4 linked regions of the Daphnia pulex genome follow. The protein of the gene in region 2 purifies or fractionates together with the protein of the main gene of each other region. This does not show direct contact. Links are inferred from orthologs where the notes say so. Each region holds a gene or a part of one and is shown on either strand. Other genes may lie near its edges. The genes, in order: cell division control protein 45 homolog, DNA topoisomerase 2-binding protein 1-A-like, NAD-dependent protein deacetylase sirtuin-1-like and serine/threonine-protein kinase ATR-like.

Region 1 (4,147 bases), on a different chromosome or scaffold from region 2:
ATATAATTTGCACGGGAAATCGCCAACGAAATTCTACACACTGTTTTAAAATCAAGTATGGCATGTTTAAAAAAAAAAGGGGGAGAAAATTCTCTAGAGGGAGTACAGCCTTAAATAAGAATAAGAAGAAAAAAGATACTCGTTTGATGTGAATCACTAATCCCATTTTGACCGTTCGGGTTCGGTAAATTTGTGTTACTCTAGGAGTGAAAAGAGCGAATCCAAGAAATTGGTTCGGCATTCCGAGTTGATCTCGATCACTGCGCATTCAAGAGAAAAACGAATTAGTAAATAAATCGCTACCTACAGCAACACAAATCTCATACCGGAGGAGTCAAAAAATACAGATGTGATTTCTGTTTGGGTATTTTCAGCTGCTTGCTCAAAGGCTTTTCCAATCAAGCTGTGACAATCGTTGCAAACGGTTAAGAAACGGTAAATGGAATTCTAGGAGATGAGGCACTTACTTTTTAGGGGAATCCAATGATAAAGGAGGCAAACCCAATAAAAGGCAATGAGATGGTCGAGACGCCGATGGGGCTGAAATGATGAGTGGAAGCTCTCTCGCTCTCAATCCACGACCTCGTGCTCGCGAGATGTGGGCTTTGAGAAGAAACTGTCCCAGCATGAGCAAACTGTGCGGATAACCATAGTACTTGGCGTCTGGTGTCCCCTGTATGTTGCACAAGTTGTTTAGATGCTATTCGTGTCAGGGATGAATACGATTCATTATTATTACGTCTTGGATAACTGCGTACAAACAAGGTCCTGCGCTGATCACGTGACCCATATCCAGACAGGTGTGCACTTCTTTTCCGATCGCCATTTGCTGAAGCTTGGCCAGTTCGATTCCTTTATAAACAGCATCCATTTTCGAGCTAAAAGATATGAAAGGAACAATGTCTCAATCACGATTCTTTCTATGAAGATGACTTGAGGTTAAGAAGCATACTTTGAAAGACATTCCAGTGCGTCGTGAAATGCATCGGCTGGATCTTTATCCTTTTCGGCCGAATCAAGCAACGCTATAAGAGCGTAGACATAGTCACTGGCGGAATTCTTTGGCCGGAATCCATACTGAGAATTAAAACTGTATTCAACGAGGTCTTCCAAGTCGTATTTTTCCACTTTTTTCTGGAAAATGGCACGCAAATCATTTCGAAGCTCGATATCCATAGAGTTAAATTTTTGGCGACACTGAGACAGTGGAAGCCTGTGAGCAATAATAAAAGACATTGCAATAATAGTAGTAAAATATATTTGGATTCTGAAATTACCCCAATTCAGCTAGAAACTCGTTGAGTTTTTTCTCTCCTTTCAGTGTCCAAAGTTGAAAATGACTGGCTGTTTGAGGAGAGTATTTTAAGCTTTCCAATAAACTCCAGTGTCGGTACATTGACAAATTTAAACTGTTTAAACAAAAAGTTAATTTAAATTACTGTAAATTAAATAGCAAAAATATTATGTTACTCTTTTTCGTGGGTTATATATAGTGCGTCTTTGGTTCCTGTCGATTCTCCACCGTGTTGCGATAAATGGGCCAATCGAATCATGTGACTTTGCAATTTGCCATTATCAAGAACCGAGGTTTTTGATTCGACTTTACCCAGAAGCTGCTGTTCGTTCACACCAATAATAGCCCACCTGCAATACCAATGAACCATGTACATTCTTACTCAGCTAAAAATTTAAAGAATTATTACCACAACAAGTCATTGCTGTCTCTAGATAATTTCCAGGCAAGTTCAAACATAAGAAGAGCAGTCTAAACGACGAAAATGAATGGTAATAAAAGTTGAATACAGTTTTGATTTTGAATTAAACTTACCGACGATGAATAAAAAGAAAATTGCATATAGTTAAACAAAATCTCCTTTCTTTTCTCATGCCATAGCCTTTTTTCTCTACGACGCATAACCATTTCAGCAGGATCCAATTTCTGACGTTTGGATTTAGATTCACGAACTTCTTCTTCATCATCATCACCATCACCATTTGCTTCTCCATCTGAAGGATTGCTGCCCTAATTATTTTAAAAATTTATCAGTTTCAAATTTAAACATATGCCAATTAATTAACTACCTCATCATCATCATCGTCATCATCATTCCCAAAGATATCTTCATATGTTGGTATATCTTCTTTCTCATTTACCTTTCCCAGTATACAAACCTAAACAATGGCACACAATCAACAAAGTTTTCGCTATAAAAAGTAAACAGTGATATTTACCTGTCCATCGTTGTAGATGTTACAAACATCATATGGCCGATGTGAGTCTGCAATATAGAAGATTTTTTCCTCTGATGGTTCTAATGTTTCTACAATGTCCAAAGTTCCTCCACAGTTTATCAGAATAATGTGGTTCGACTGTAGAAATTATATTGACACTCACTTCTTCAACACTATATATATTATTACGAATGCATTTTCACCTGTTCACAGCTCTCTTTGTAGGCTGAAATGAGATCATTTTGGCTCTGCACAGGGACTATAGAATAGCTGATTGAATCACAAAGTAACAGGTACTGCAGAATTCGACATGAAGCTATGGCATCCACGTCGAAATTCACAAATATCAAGACACGCTGTACAAAGAAAATATGAGAAAGACATTACTTTATATCACACACAAAATATCGGTAAATCAGTCGTTCATTATTACTTTTCCCAATATAACATCGTAAAACTCGCGTTTGAGGTCACTGAGAAACATTGTTAGCCATTCACAATACCCTTTCCCTGATCCCTCACTCTTCTTTTCATTCGGTACGTGAAATGGCGCGAAACTAACAACAAAATCGAAGCCTCTTCTGGTGTCCCTTTAACACAGACAAAGGAATTGATTTTGTTTTTTCGTTCGTTTTTTAAGCACACGTGATATTTTTATATTTACAAACAAAGAATTCCACACACAAAATATGAAAAATTTAATTTTTTTATTTCCCTTCTTTTTAACGCTTACTTAAGTTTTCGTTGACAATTAGCATCCGAAATTCAAATGACCAACCAAAAGTTTTCAACTTATTTTGTAGATATTTTTCTCTGTTAGAATAAATCGTCTTTATGTAAAAATCTAATTTTAATCAATCATTATCGTGGATAAAGCTGATGCAACTGTTAAAGATTCAACTATTGGGGTAATCAAATATTCGCATATTTTAAAATATTTCACGTACGGATTCTAGTAAAGTTTTGTATACGCATATGTAGTTTTTTACAAATAATAAAAACAATACGACTTTAAATGCACAAGCATGTTAATTTATCAGCTGTAGGTCTTTATAAACCGTAGTGTCTGTAGCAATTCAACAGTTGGGCGCACGATCGTCAAGGTGCCAGCGCTTTAGGTAAAAGTTCCCCACAAGGACCCGAAAAATGAAATCTGCCAGAAACGTCAATAACGTGTTATGAAAAGAACTTTACGACATGCAAATGTTTAGGTGTTTCATACCCAAAGTGATGAGTAGCAGGAGTAGTTTCCATATTGAATTCCGCGACGGGAACCCCTCTTTCAGCAACCTGGGGAGCAAACATTGCTGCTGGATAGACAACTGATGATGTTCCAACGACCAAACACAGATCGCAACTATTAAGTTCCTCATCTAGATAATAAAATAAACACGTAAATAGGACACATAAAAAATTGACATCGAAGAAAAAATTGTACTAATTACCAGCTTTTTTGAGAACGGCAGAATCCAGATTTTCATGGAACCATACAACATGGGGCCTTAGAAGGCCTCCACAGGAAGAAACTTTGCATCTGGGCAACAATGATTCTGGAACCAATTCTCCAACCTCATTTGGGGATGGTGATCTAATAAGGGTAAGACAATTAGATTTTTATTTGAAATAAGTAAAAAAGGAAAATCTTACCCCTTTCCCCTAAGAGCTTCACAAATGGGACTGTCATGATTGGGTTCTATCTTTTTACATTTCAGACACCGAGTCTTGAACAGACTGCCATGCAGTTCTAAGACATTGACTGAACCAGCCCTTTGATGAAGTTCATCAATATTTTGGGTGATCACACTGACGTGCCTTCCTTCTTTAGTCATTCTATGTTGGAACTCTGCAATTGCATTGTGTGCCTGAAACAAGAAAAAAATACAGATTAAAGTGAGGAAATCATTCGAGTTAAACT
Region 2 (2,547 bases):
TGCATTTGCACTACTCATTATCTTTTAATGTAATTCATGTAGAGTACTGAAAAATGTAACAGTTTTAAATATTTTTACAGCAGATTCACGATTGAAATGGATGCATTGAGAAAAATTGTAAGACCCGTGTGCAGCAACCTGCAACAACTCTTTATGTTTTCACCTGCTGTTTTCCCTGTGACAGTGTCAAGAACATTTAGTGCATTATCAATGAGAATTCCCCAAACTCTGAATGTGCAAAATCAACTGTTAACTCCTACTGTTCCTTCACTAGTTCCTAGTTGTGGATTCAAAGTTGTGGGGAAACCGATGAAACGTTGCAAAGACTGCTACAAAGTGGTGAGACAGGGAAGGGTTCATATCATTTGTAAAACTAAACCAAGGCATAAACAAATGTCAATGAAGAAAGATGAAGACAAAACCTGGATACTTACATCTGCAACAATGGGGCCTAAGCGTCTTTGGTAGTTTTGTCATCATTATGTACTAGTTATCAATACAATTCTGCAGGAAACTAGAAATGATTGTATTTCATGGACTTATCTAAGTATCTTTAAACATTTTCTTAAAAAAAAAAGGTATTTTTCACATTAGATTATTCAAATAAAAAGAAAGATAGTTAAGAAGAAGGCATGTTTTCGAGATAAGGAAGAAATTCTTGTAAAACAGACTTGCTCCATTTTAACTTCTTGTCAGTAGCCAGAACAAGATTTCTGAGATAAATCAATGGAACGCAATAAATGCCTCTATTGGCAAACGATGACAACTGCAACTTTTTCGCTTCGCGAGAATCCAAAATGCACAAGTTCGTCTTCTTGTTTTCCAAAGCCGAACTAGAAGAAACGTATAAATAAATGAAAATAATGAATGAAAGAAAACTCTGAACATCCTTATTATCATACCCTTGGTCAACCACCTTTCCGCCACCAGCTTCAAGTAAACGCTGGAAAGAAGCATTTTTCTCGCGAAGGTATAAAACAGCGGTAATTCCGTGAAAAGGGCCACCAGATACTCCTTGACTGCGATTAATACGCCAATAATATGCAGCCGCAGCAATGTTAGCTTCGTCCTCGGTAATGGATTCGGATTCTGGGTAATCCACCGTGGCTTCTGGATTGCCCCATTCAAATTTAGCTTCCTCAAGGAAACGTTTTTCTTTTTCGCTTTCAATCAGCCATTCTGGATGAAGGATCCATTTTCCAGCAGCGATCGACGTCAACAATTTTTCATTAGATCCAACTTTGGCGACGACAAGGTGAGTACACGTTGGGTCGTATTGGTTGGATTCAAGAACGGTTCCTCCCAACTCTTCGATAACAGCAGTACAGCTTTCACGATCGTCTAGTGCCATTCCAGAGAACATGACACGATACGTCTGAGTATTGTTTAGCTGTGAACCGGTTGGCTTTTGTGTCTCGTGAAGATCCCACACAATTGGAGCAGATTGCGAATCTACCGTTTCCAGAGGTTGCGTTGCGGGAACGAAGACGTGTTCAGGTCCTCTACCGTTTCTAGCCCCCGAAACGTTTGTAACCTTTTGCAGAGGAATCTGCTCAGCTGAACGTGATAGCACTTGGTCTAGTTGCAAAAGTTCTTTGCATGCTTCTTCCTCTACGTCTGGGACGACAAGATTCTCTTGTTCTTCATTAGTTTCAAGAAGGTCGTTTTCACGTGGCTCACTATCAGATGATAAGCGCTTACGGGAAGGAATTCTAGGAGTACCCGTTTCGCTGGAACTGGCAGGAAGGCGTCGCTTCTGGGTACAACTAGACGGCGGTGCAGGTTGCGAATTGAAATTCAGTGACAAAGCCATTTTCGGATTCAAAGATGGTGGATAATGCGATTCTTCTAGACGATTCGAAGTATCTTCACAGTCTAGGATCCATTGTGGTGAGACAAATTTCTGGTGCCAATCTTTTGCGCTTCGAATCTCTTTGGATGCAGCTAGCTTGCCCTGATATATGAAATGAGTTACCTCCTCGCAGTGTTGGAAACGAACCTTGCCACCCAGATTTTCAACTGCTTTTACCAACTCGGTTCTTTGGTCTTCAACTTTCTTGTGTATGAATGCCACCACTCCATGAAAAGGTGGCTTTGGTGGTTCTAAGGGTGATGCTGCCGCTGAATTTTCCTCATCCGGTTTCCACATGGCTTGTGCTTCAACTCCACTTTCATCAAGACGCAATTTTTTCCGTAAATTCAAGAAATAATCCGAGTCTTCGGGGGAAACCACAATTTCTCCTTTCTGAATATCTTGTGGGGTAACGTTAAGGGATTCGTCCGCGCGAGGCGTCAAACGAACTCGATTTTCCAATGCATGTTTCCACAATTTTCGAGTTTCGGGTGACGGGTCCGTCTACAAAGAAGAAAAATGCTGATTCCTTTCTGACGATTAAAAATTACAAACTAAAACATTACGTTTAAAAGCCTTCCATATGGTGTATCGGGTGTAGGCATGTTAAAAAGAGATGGTCGAGCTTGAGGTGTTCTACCAATATTATTTGCACTAAACGGATTCTGTTGTAAACACGTAGGAGTGTCAGAGAC
Region 3 (4,078 bases), on a different chromosome or scaffold from region 2:
TATCCATAATACAGGAAAAAAAAGAAATACTAAATACCATCGAGAGATTTCGTCTATATACACACGCTTGAAGCTTTTAAATAGAATCCATATTGTTAACATAACAATGGTAAAAACAGAAGCTTTGTCGTTGCTTCGGAATACGTCGTCAATCCATCGCTTTCCTTTTTACTCCATGCTCCGGGAAAGGTTGAGTTGAATCTCCTCCATCAATTCCAGACGAATCGCTGGAATCAGAGGATGAGTCAGAATCGGACTCTACCTCTTCGTCTGGGTCATAGAAGAGTTCAGCACCAGGAAACAGGTATCGACCAGGTTGGACGGTGAGATAAGTGTTTTCTGAATTTTATGCAAGGAAATGCATATAGATGACATAGACAACAACCGAACAAAAATAAATTACCTGGGAGTTGATCGGCAAGATTCACTTTGATTCGCGGCTCCCACCATCCGGTCATGTCATGAGTAACTGGTTCAACATCACCAGACTCGGCTGATTCCATTTCTAAGCTTCCTGTAGACATCCCACTGTCCCGGCGTAAAGGATCGTCTTGATCTCTTTTGGGGAAAATGGGTGCAGGTACGGCGACAGAAGGAGTGGGGCGTGGTGGTAGGCGACTGATCTCTGTTAGAGGTTCGCGGTAACAAATGTCATCTTTCCATTGTGTACCCAGTCTGATTGTTACAAGAAGATTGATGAGACAACAAATTTGGCTGATGAAAATTACTGTATACTAACAAATGACACAGTTGGTTGACGATAATATCGCAGTCCCCAAGCAGTTCAACATCAAAGACCATGTGGCGGAGAGGTTCGCGATTGATAAGAATTTGCGGAACATGATTCGGTAGGGCGCCTATTTGAATCAAGAGAAACTTATTGCATATGAACTTTAAGGTTACAAGATGACATTTAAAATAACTTACATGGGATGAGTGCGACAGGGCGGACTTTGAGCGATGACCCAATCACGATTATCAGGTCACATTCTTCTTTATCGAGTACCATAGCGCGGTGAAATTCGTCTGGCATTCCTTCTCCAAAGAAAACAATGTCAGGCTTCATGATCGGCTGGGCCGATAATGCCACCGACGACGATGTACTGGCCTCGTCTTCATTTTTCGACACATCCGAGCATTTCGGACAAAGTGGAATGCGTTGTTCCATTATGTCTTTTTCTATCTCGTTCGAGGGGACGCGATGTTGGCAGCGCAGGCAAGTGGCAGTAGCAAACGAGCCATGACATTGGATAACCCTTTCGATATCTGCTTGTTGTTCTAGTGTATCTATGTTTTGCGTGTAGTTGCGCAAAAGCTTGTTTTGTTTCTCTAGCAAACGAATGAACCTAAACAAAATATCGTTTCATTAGCGAAATTTCAAAATTGTCAAGAGAATTTGTTTACTTGTGGCATTTAGAAGGTGTAAACTGTCCTGGCCAAAGGTCTCGGGCGAATTTAAAGAACGGTCGGGGATCTTTTCGGAAGTAATGGATATCAAACATAGCTTGAGGATCGGGCAAGTCAGGGAAGTCGACGGCTAAGCGAGCGTAAATTCCATCACGGCTACGAAAGTCGGGAATACCACAGGAAACAGAAACCTAAACAAAATTTGTTCAAATATAATGAGGTAAATTATTTTATAAAAAAAAAAAAAAAAATTACCCCTGCTCCTGTAAGAACTAGAATCTTTTTACAGCTACGGAGTAATCTGACGGCATCGGATATTGCATTTATGTGGCGTAAACGTTCCCGCCTTGGAGGTTCACTGACAATATTCACGATTATCTGTTTTATTCAATAATTATGATTAGTTGCCTTGACAATGCTACAAATTTATAATTTTACCTTCCAAAGGGTGACATCGTCAAGATGGGTGGGGATTTGAGCATCATTTGGTACCAACTCATTCAGGATGGTTCGAGGATTGGTACCAAGAAGCATCTGTTGTTGCACCCAAGACATCGTCCCTGATGATGGCTCCCAGTCATGATTGCTCAAGTCACTCAACCCACTTATGTCTGAAACATCACTATCTGAGGAGGTATCATCATCTTTCTCCAAATTGCCCATTGAATCATCAGCATCTTGAATGGCTGGCAAAGCATAGCTACAAATAAATAAATAATAAAGTTAGACCATATGTTTGTACACAATAAAAAGAAGACATTAGTCCACATTACCTGGTAGATGGTAAATCATTAGTGAGATTTTCATCCTCGCTGCTGGCTAAAGACGTTAACTCGCTGAAGCCTGAATCCCCAGCGTTGAACATTTCACAGCTTCCTAGTTGTCCTGCATCATTTGCTGAAATTTAAAAAAAAAAAAAAAATATTTCAAGTAAGCTCACAATGGATCAACTCTACAGCCATCAAGAAATTTCAACTCAAGAAACCAAAACAGTATTTGACAAGTGTCATCACACTGTTATGACATTCAAACATGCCGCCCCAAAATTTTGGCAACGCAGCAATCGACCAAAAAGAAGGGCGTCTCCCCTCCCCCCCCCCCATCCGCCAATGGCCGCACTAACGAAGCAAAAGGCCATTTACCTCAAAACCGAATGCAATCTTTTGCTAACAATTTTGATTAGGTTCACAAGTACATTAAATGAATGAAATCGATCAAACGGGTACTTACAAAGCTGTTGGCCCTCAATAAAGGACTGTGAGATGTCAATCGGCAGCAAAGTTCTGCTTCGTTTTACGGGACTGTGAAAGTTCTCGCCTTGTTCGTCGGCCATTGCTTCGTCTTCCGTCGATCGTGGGGTAGAGGGCGCTTCTTCTTCTTCACAAATTTCGGGCCGCCAGGTGGCAGGTCAGCGTTGCCAGTATGAATCGAATTCGTCCCGAAACCGGAAGAAAATATGCGCAAGGACATGTATACATGAAATAGGAAGGGAATTAATTCAAGGCCTTTCCTTGTCGAGCTTTTATATCAACCTTAGTCCACTTTCCGCACGTTGCGGTTCAGATAAGGCATTGTGATTTTCGCATAAGGAGGAAAGCTGCTGATTATAATTTTTTTTTTAATAGGAGGTTTATCAGAAATGCAGTATCACCAAATTAAACTGAGAAAAAAATTAGTTCAAGATGTACTAAACATCACGAATGAGGTTACGCGATATCGGGAAAATAATTCACGTATGGCATTTGTACTAGAGAAGCGACCCCGAGGTTTGACTGACTTATAATATTCGTGGACCATAAAACCAAATCGCATAGGGGTGAGCCGGCCCGCGGTGCGTTATACCCCCAAAAGTTGTAAAACATGGTCTAGCGATTTGACGAACTTAATTAAATCTGATAGGCATAGCACACGGGGCCGCCCGATATGGCCGCTCTTGTTTGAAAGCGTGCGTCACAACAATTGCGCTGAGTGTGTGTGAGGATTATTAGTGCTGCGGGATCCGGTAAGTACTTGACTCCAGTCGAGAACGATCAGGCTTGATAAACAACAGCAGAGCTCAGTTGCTGGATTTACCTTCCGACAAGCAAGGAATTACTACTTTTTTCAATGTAAGTGAATTCATTGTTTTCCCACACGTAATAACCGAACTCAAGTCGTTCGTGCGAATTTCAGACTTTCACAGGAATGGATTTTTCAAACGTCAACTTCCCATTTCCTTTGTGGATTGTCCGTCCCACCTGGGAGTGCGCCTTGAAAATCGGATTCTTCGTTCCTGTCATTATCATCAGTCTGCTTGGAAACGGTTTGGTGGTTTACCTCATGGCCACCAATCGATTTTTGCGCACTTCCATCAACATCTTCATTTGGAATTTGGCCATCGCCGATCTTTTAACTATCCTACTCATCCCGTGGATAATTTTAATCATCGATCTCTACCAGATGTTCATTCTCGGAGAGGTTTCAAAACCAGTCAGTTTTATTATCAAATAATTATAATTTCCATTACATTTTTGGGAAGGTTATTTGTCGAACCGAGGGATTTTTAAGAGGTAATTCAAAGCTTCATTTTAAAAAAAAAACTGGCAAGTAATTCATATATTTCAAATCAAAAGTGATGCTGATGTTGGTGGACGTCTTCAGCTTGCTGGCCGTAAGCTTTGATCGTTTCTTT
Region 4 (4,014 bases), on a different chromosome or scaffold from region 2:
AGATGGCTCGTTGAAGAGATGGTAAATTTTTTTCAACCGAAATTTGCGCCACTTTGTGCAGTTTCTTGGTGATTGATAAACGAAGGGCTTCGGTTCGAGCAGAATGATAAAGAACCGATCGAAAAAGATCCACGCGGTGGAGTAGCGAAATATCATTTTCATCAAAGACAAACTCGAGGAAGAAGAGCGCCATATCTTCAGGAACGATGCTTACTTTTAATGATGTAGCAAGATTTTCGAGATTGTGAGTGCACCGTAAACTCAGTCCATCTTCTGGATTATTAACAACATTCATCTTGCCTGATAGAGCACAGACAAGGTCTGCTCCATTTTTTGTTAACTCCCTTATCTCTTCTCTAGAACCAGAAGCCAAAATGGTGGTTAAGCATTGTGTTATTGATTCGCGGAACGACTTGCTGTGGCGGACGATCCATGGAAGAGAAGGGATGAGTGCCTCAGCGTCAGCTTGAAGAAACTCGATGTCCAAAATCTTCAAGCCAATGTCAACGGCCCAAGGTTTAAAAAAGGCGACGGGGAATTTCACAAAGCAGCTGGCGAAACTGCTCTGGCGCTTTAGAAAAGAAGACTTGAATTTTCGACTGGCCTGTATCCATTTGGCTTCCAGGTCACATGATTCAGAGACTGCCGAGAGCCAAGGAAGAGACGATAGGGCAAACCACGCTATAGCGACGTTCTTATCGATTCCGACGTAAGTAAGTGGGATACAGCAGACCAAATACTCGCAAATTATATCCATCCAAGCGTCCATATCTTCACTGTTGATTTCATTGGTTAAAAGAATTTCACAAATTTTTCCGTTTAAGTTTTCGAAGTCGGCTTCATCCAAGACCGAGTTCATTTCGCGCCATTTCAGTTTCAGTTTGACTCCAACGATTGCGATCCTAACCAAAGCAATAGCGTCGGTCATCTCAATTGATTGACTTGCCGTTTGTTGATTCAATATTTCTTTCCAGCTATTTTTAATTTGTTCCCATAAAGTAGAAGAAGTCGATGGCGGAAGAAAATCAATTTTTAGTCTCTTAGCAGATGGTGGCTCATCAACTTCCATGGGACAGTCTCCAGGCGTCATCTCACTCTGCAAGATGATAAGTAAGGGTGGAATGGCAACCTACACAGGTAAAGAAATTTAGTAATAAAACATTGCTGTTTAATGAAATTCTGTGGTCAGTTACTTTAGCATGCTTTAGCAGCTTGATCCATAAATCAGGTGTGAATCTACAAAGAGAAATTGTTTCCGGGCATGTAAATTTCTGAAGTGCGCCCAGCATACTTTGTAAAAGATTGGGAAGTAAAGCTAGAATAAATTCAAAATTAATGTTATTGTAAGCATTCAAATATATTGAATATTTTATACAAGGTTGGTGGAATTTTTGATGAAGTAAAATAAAACTGATCAGCCTCAGGTATTGGTGATTAGTTACATTGTTCAAGCCGTAAAGACTAGATAGGCGACTGAGACAGTCAGTTAGCGCGATTTCTATTTCTGTGTAGCTATCTTCACTAATTCCAAGCCACAGTGGATTGCTTTTATCCATTAATAGGTTTACTAGGCGGTATGCGTAGCTTAGAAAAACCTCAAGAACCTGACAGCACGAATAAATGAATAAAATATATTTACCACAATGTTAATAGAAACCATAATAAGAGCCTAAGGATGTGTGAAATATTTACTCTGGCTGGATAATTATGAATCATGATTTTCCCAAGGCAGTCCAGTGTAGCTTTAAATGAACTAACTCCTCCATAATTTAGTTGATCCAATAAAATACAAACAAGTTTGTCACACAATTGATGGTTATATTGCAAAATGCCATCAGCTGACAAAGCAAAAATCTAAAAATATGCAAAAATATTTTGTAGAACACTAACAAAATTGTAATTTACAAAAGATACCTTGGTAATGCTATTTTGCAGAAGGGAGCATTCTAATAATGAATTTAGTTGCAAGCCATCCATCTTTAAAAGGCAATCTGCTGCAAGTGTTACTGGTTCCTTGAGAACGAAGGAGTGTAGCTTGAAGCTTCTATTGCAGACTTCTTCATTGGATTGTTTTGATACAATTCCTACCAATTCCTTCAACAAGTTGGCATATTCATTAACAATAGCAGTAAATTGGGCAGGTTCTTTATCTCTGAATAGATTCAAAATTTTAACATTCAGCTCAATAAATGGATTAAAAGCTTTCATGTATGAATTCCGAGTAAATATAATGGCGAATCTGCCAAGGAACCATTTAGTGTAAGCTGCAAAACAAACAGATGTTAATTTTGAGAGAAACCAGCATAAGACATTAACAGAAATGTAAATCTTACCAAAAGCTAAACTGTGATCGTTTTCATTATTTCCACATCCAAGAAAAACACCTTGATTATTTGGTTCACGGCAGCATCTGTCCATGACAGACATCAACACGACAAAGCTTTTTTCTGAATGATCTAGGTCAGCTAAAATTTTTAAAGCAGGCAAGGCCATCATTTTCCGGTGATCCGAAACTGCACTGAAGTGAGCACTTGTTGAGCTTTCTTCTTGAATTTCCATAGTTGTAGTCTTTTGACTTTGTTCTACTTTTACTGCTAAAGATGTCATTATGTAAACTTGGCAAACAAAGTACTAACGAAACTATGCAAACAAAGTACTAACGAAACGGGGCACCTTGAAGTACCACGACACACACCACGAAACTAACGCAAAACTAAAGCTAACAACAACCATATCACCCGCATCAGCAAATTACGATCACGTGTGAATAGCAGACGGATTCAAAGAAAAAGTCCAGTTTAAGAGGTTTTGGCGCCCATCTTACATTTCAGCGTTGGCGGATTATAAATAAGAAAACAAGGCAGTAGTAAAGAAAATGCAAAAAATGAAAAATAACTACGATAAAAAATTTAAAAAAAGTCTAGGTTATTATAATTAATCAATTACGAAAACGAGTTCAAGAAGACAAGACATTACAACTTTATTACAAGAAACCAGAGTCGAAGAAGAATTTCCTTATTCCAAACAATGAATACAGACAGAGTAATATTGTTTCATGTGGTCCACCAAAATATTTTGAATAACAATACAAAACTTAGTTTTTTTGGGGGACAAACAGCATCATACATTCCTTGCTTTAGAGTTTTAGACGCCAGCGAGCGAAAATGAATAAAAAAAAAGTTATTAAGAAATGTCCATAATGACTGTATCACCGTGGTATCACTAAGAACCGAACACTTGATAGATAGATTAGATGAATGATAACACTTAATCATCTATTTCAAAATTGGCCATATTATTTGCCTGCTCTGACCATGCAGCAAATCGAGCCCCATCCATTTCGCCTGCAACGCGGTTGTCTGATCGAAGCGTATGACTCCCTCCGCCGATTTGGGCGCCGCACTCGTTGCATTTGGCTTCCTGCATTGCTCCTCCACACTCTCCAATCGCGTAGATGTGGCCATTCGGACATTTGAACCAGTGTCCCTGTGTAAGTCCCATGGCCTTAATAATTTCCTTACGTTCGATGTCGCTGATGCCAAGTCCAGTATTCAATTTTTTGCCCATCCTCTGCAAAGTTTCTTTGATCACCACGATCTCACGATCCCTCAATGGCTTCACATTCTTCATCAACAGCTCTTCTACCTGCCGATTTTCTTCGTTTATCAAAGAGTTTCTGTTGTAGGTGGAGGAGCTCTTCAACAAAAAGAAGGCTCGAATCAAGTTCAAGCGGTTGACTTCGGCAATGAAACATTCATGTTCTTGAGACGCAAATCTTTCGCGATGGAAAAGAGACAAAAGAAGTTGTTGCGTTCGATTTAAAAGATCCTCCAGCAAAGGGCGACTCATATATCCAATTGGAGCTTGATTACCAGTTGCTGTAATCACCGGGGATTTTCTGACGACGCTCAAAACTCTTTCTATGACATCAACTTGAACTTGGATCAGATAGCGCGTATCTTCATCCAAACGTTTATACTCGGGTTTTTTTCGGACAATAGTTGGAGTGAGGTT

Evidence for each region.
Region 1: the proteins of DNA topoisomerase 2-binding protein 1-A-like (region 2) and cell division control protein 45 homolog purify together in Homo sapiens (affinity purification with western blotting; 3 studies listed by BioGRID and IntAct, with this or other methods). This does not show direct contact. The link is inferred for Daphnia pulex from reciprocal best matches to the Homo sapiens genes TOPBP1 and CDC45.
Region 3: the proteins of DNA topoisomerase 2-binding protein 1-A-like (region 2) and NAD-dependent protein deacetylase sirtuin-1-like purify together in Homo sapiens (affinity purification with western blotting; 3 studies listed by BioGRID, with this or other methods). This does not show direct contact. The link is inferred for Daphnia pulex from reciprocal best matches to the Homo sapiens genes TOPBP1 and SIRT1.
Region 4: the proteins of DNA topoisomerase 2-binding protein 1-A-like (region 2) and serine/threonine-protein kinase ATR-like purify together in Homo sapiens (affinity purification with western blotting; 8 studies listed by BioGRID). This does not show direct contact. The link is inferred for Daphnia pulex from reciprocal best matches to the Homo sapiens genes TOPBP1 and ATR.

What each region holds. Positions count from the first base shown.
Region 1 is NC_060026.1:14,327,804-14,331,950, forward strand, and holds the start of cell division control protein 45 homolog, read right to left. Parts: upstream 2,804-4,147; 5' UTR 2,717-2,803; coding exon 2,666-2,716; intron 2,589-2,665; coding exon 2,436-2,588; intron 2,371-2,435; coding exon 2,233-2,370; exon of another isoform or gene 2,173-2,232; coding exon 2,083-2,172; exon of another isoform or gene 2,024-2,082; coding exon 1,829-2,023; intron 1,786-1,828; exon of another isoform or gene 1,766-1,785; coding exon 1,704-1,765; exon of another isoform or gene 1,645-1,703; coding exon 1,471-1,644; intron 1,410-1,470; coding exon 1,278-1,409; intron 1,214-1,277; coding exon 953-1,213; intron 879-952; coding exon 740-878; intron 674-739; coding exon 468-673; intron 404-467; coding exon 327-403; intron 261-326; coding exon 196-260; 3' UTR 1-195. Other genes in the region: NAD-dependent protein deacylase, read right to left, coding at 3,331-3,385, 3,455-3,605, 3,678-3,820, 3,880-4,094. UniProt on the Homo sapiens protein: Required for initiation of chromosomal DNA replication. Core component of CDC45-MCM-GINS (CMG) helicase, the molecular machine that unwinds template DNA during replication, and around which the replisome is built.
Region 2 is NC_060022.1:4,609,115-4,611,661, forward strand, and holds the end of DNA topoisomerase 2-binding protein 1-A-like, read right to left. Parts: coding exon 2,419-2,547; intron 2,357-2,418; coding exon 903-2,356; intron 834-902; coding exon 620-833; 3' UTR 506-619; downstream 1-505. UniProt on the Homo sapiens protein: Scaffold protein that acts as a key protein-protein adapter in DNA replication and DNA repair. Composed of multiple BRCT domains, which specifically recognize and bind phosphorylated proteins, bringing proteins together into functional combinations.
Region 3 is NC_060021.1:10,714,613-10,718,690, forward strand, and holds the start of NAD-dependent protein deacetylase sirtuin-1-like, read right to left. Parts: upstream 2,827-4,078; 5' UTR 2,741-2,826; coding exon 2,638-2,740; intron 2,305-2,637; coding exon 2,181-2,304; intron 2,108-2,180; coding exon 1,846-2,107; intron 1,786-1,845; coding exon 1,663-1,785; intron 1,599-1,662; coding exon 1,405-1,598; intron 1,347-1,404; coding exon 928-1,346; intron 858-927; coding exon 740-857; intron 676-739; coding exon 404-675; intron 340-403; coding exon 149-339; 3' UTR 1-148. Other genes in the region: neuropeptide FF receptor 2-like, read left to right, coding at 3,592-3,864, 3,926-3,956, 4,020-4,078. UniProt on the Homo sapiens protein: NAD-dependent protein deacetylase that links transcriptional regulation directly to intracellular energetics and participates in the coordination of several separated cellular functions such as cell cycle, response to DNA damage, metabolism, apoptosis and autophagy.
Region 4 is NC_060021.1:4,790,130-4,794,143, forward strand, and holds the start of serine/threonine-protein kinase ATR-like, read right to left. Parts: upstream 2,844-4,014; 5' UTR 2,608-2,843; coding exon 2,334-2,607; intron 2,265-2,333; coding exon 1,915-2,264; intron 1,855-1,914; coding exon 1,693-1,854; intron 1,605-1,692; coding exon 1,376-1,604; intron 1,316-1,375; coding exon 1,194-1,315; intron 1,130-1,193; coding exon 1-1,129. Other genes in the region: NFX1-type zinc finger-containing protein 1-like, read right to left, coding at 3,268-4,014. UniProt on the Homo sapiens protein: Serine/threonine protein kinase which activates checkpoint signaling upon genotoxic stresses such as ionizing radiation (IR), ultraviolet light (UV), or DNA replication stalling, thereby acting as a DNA damage sensor.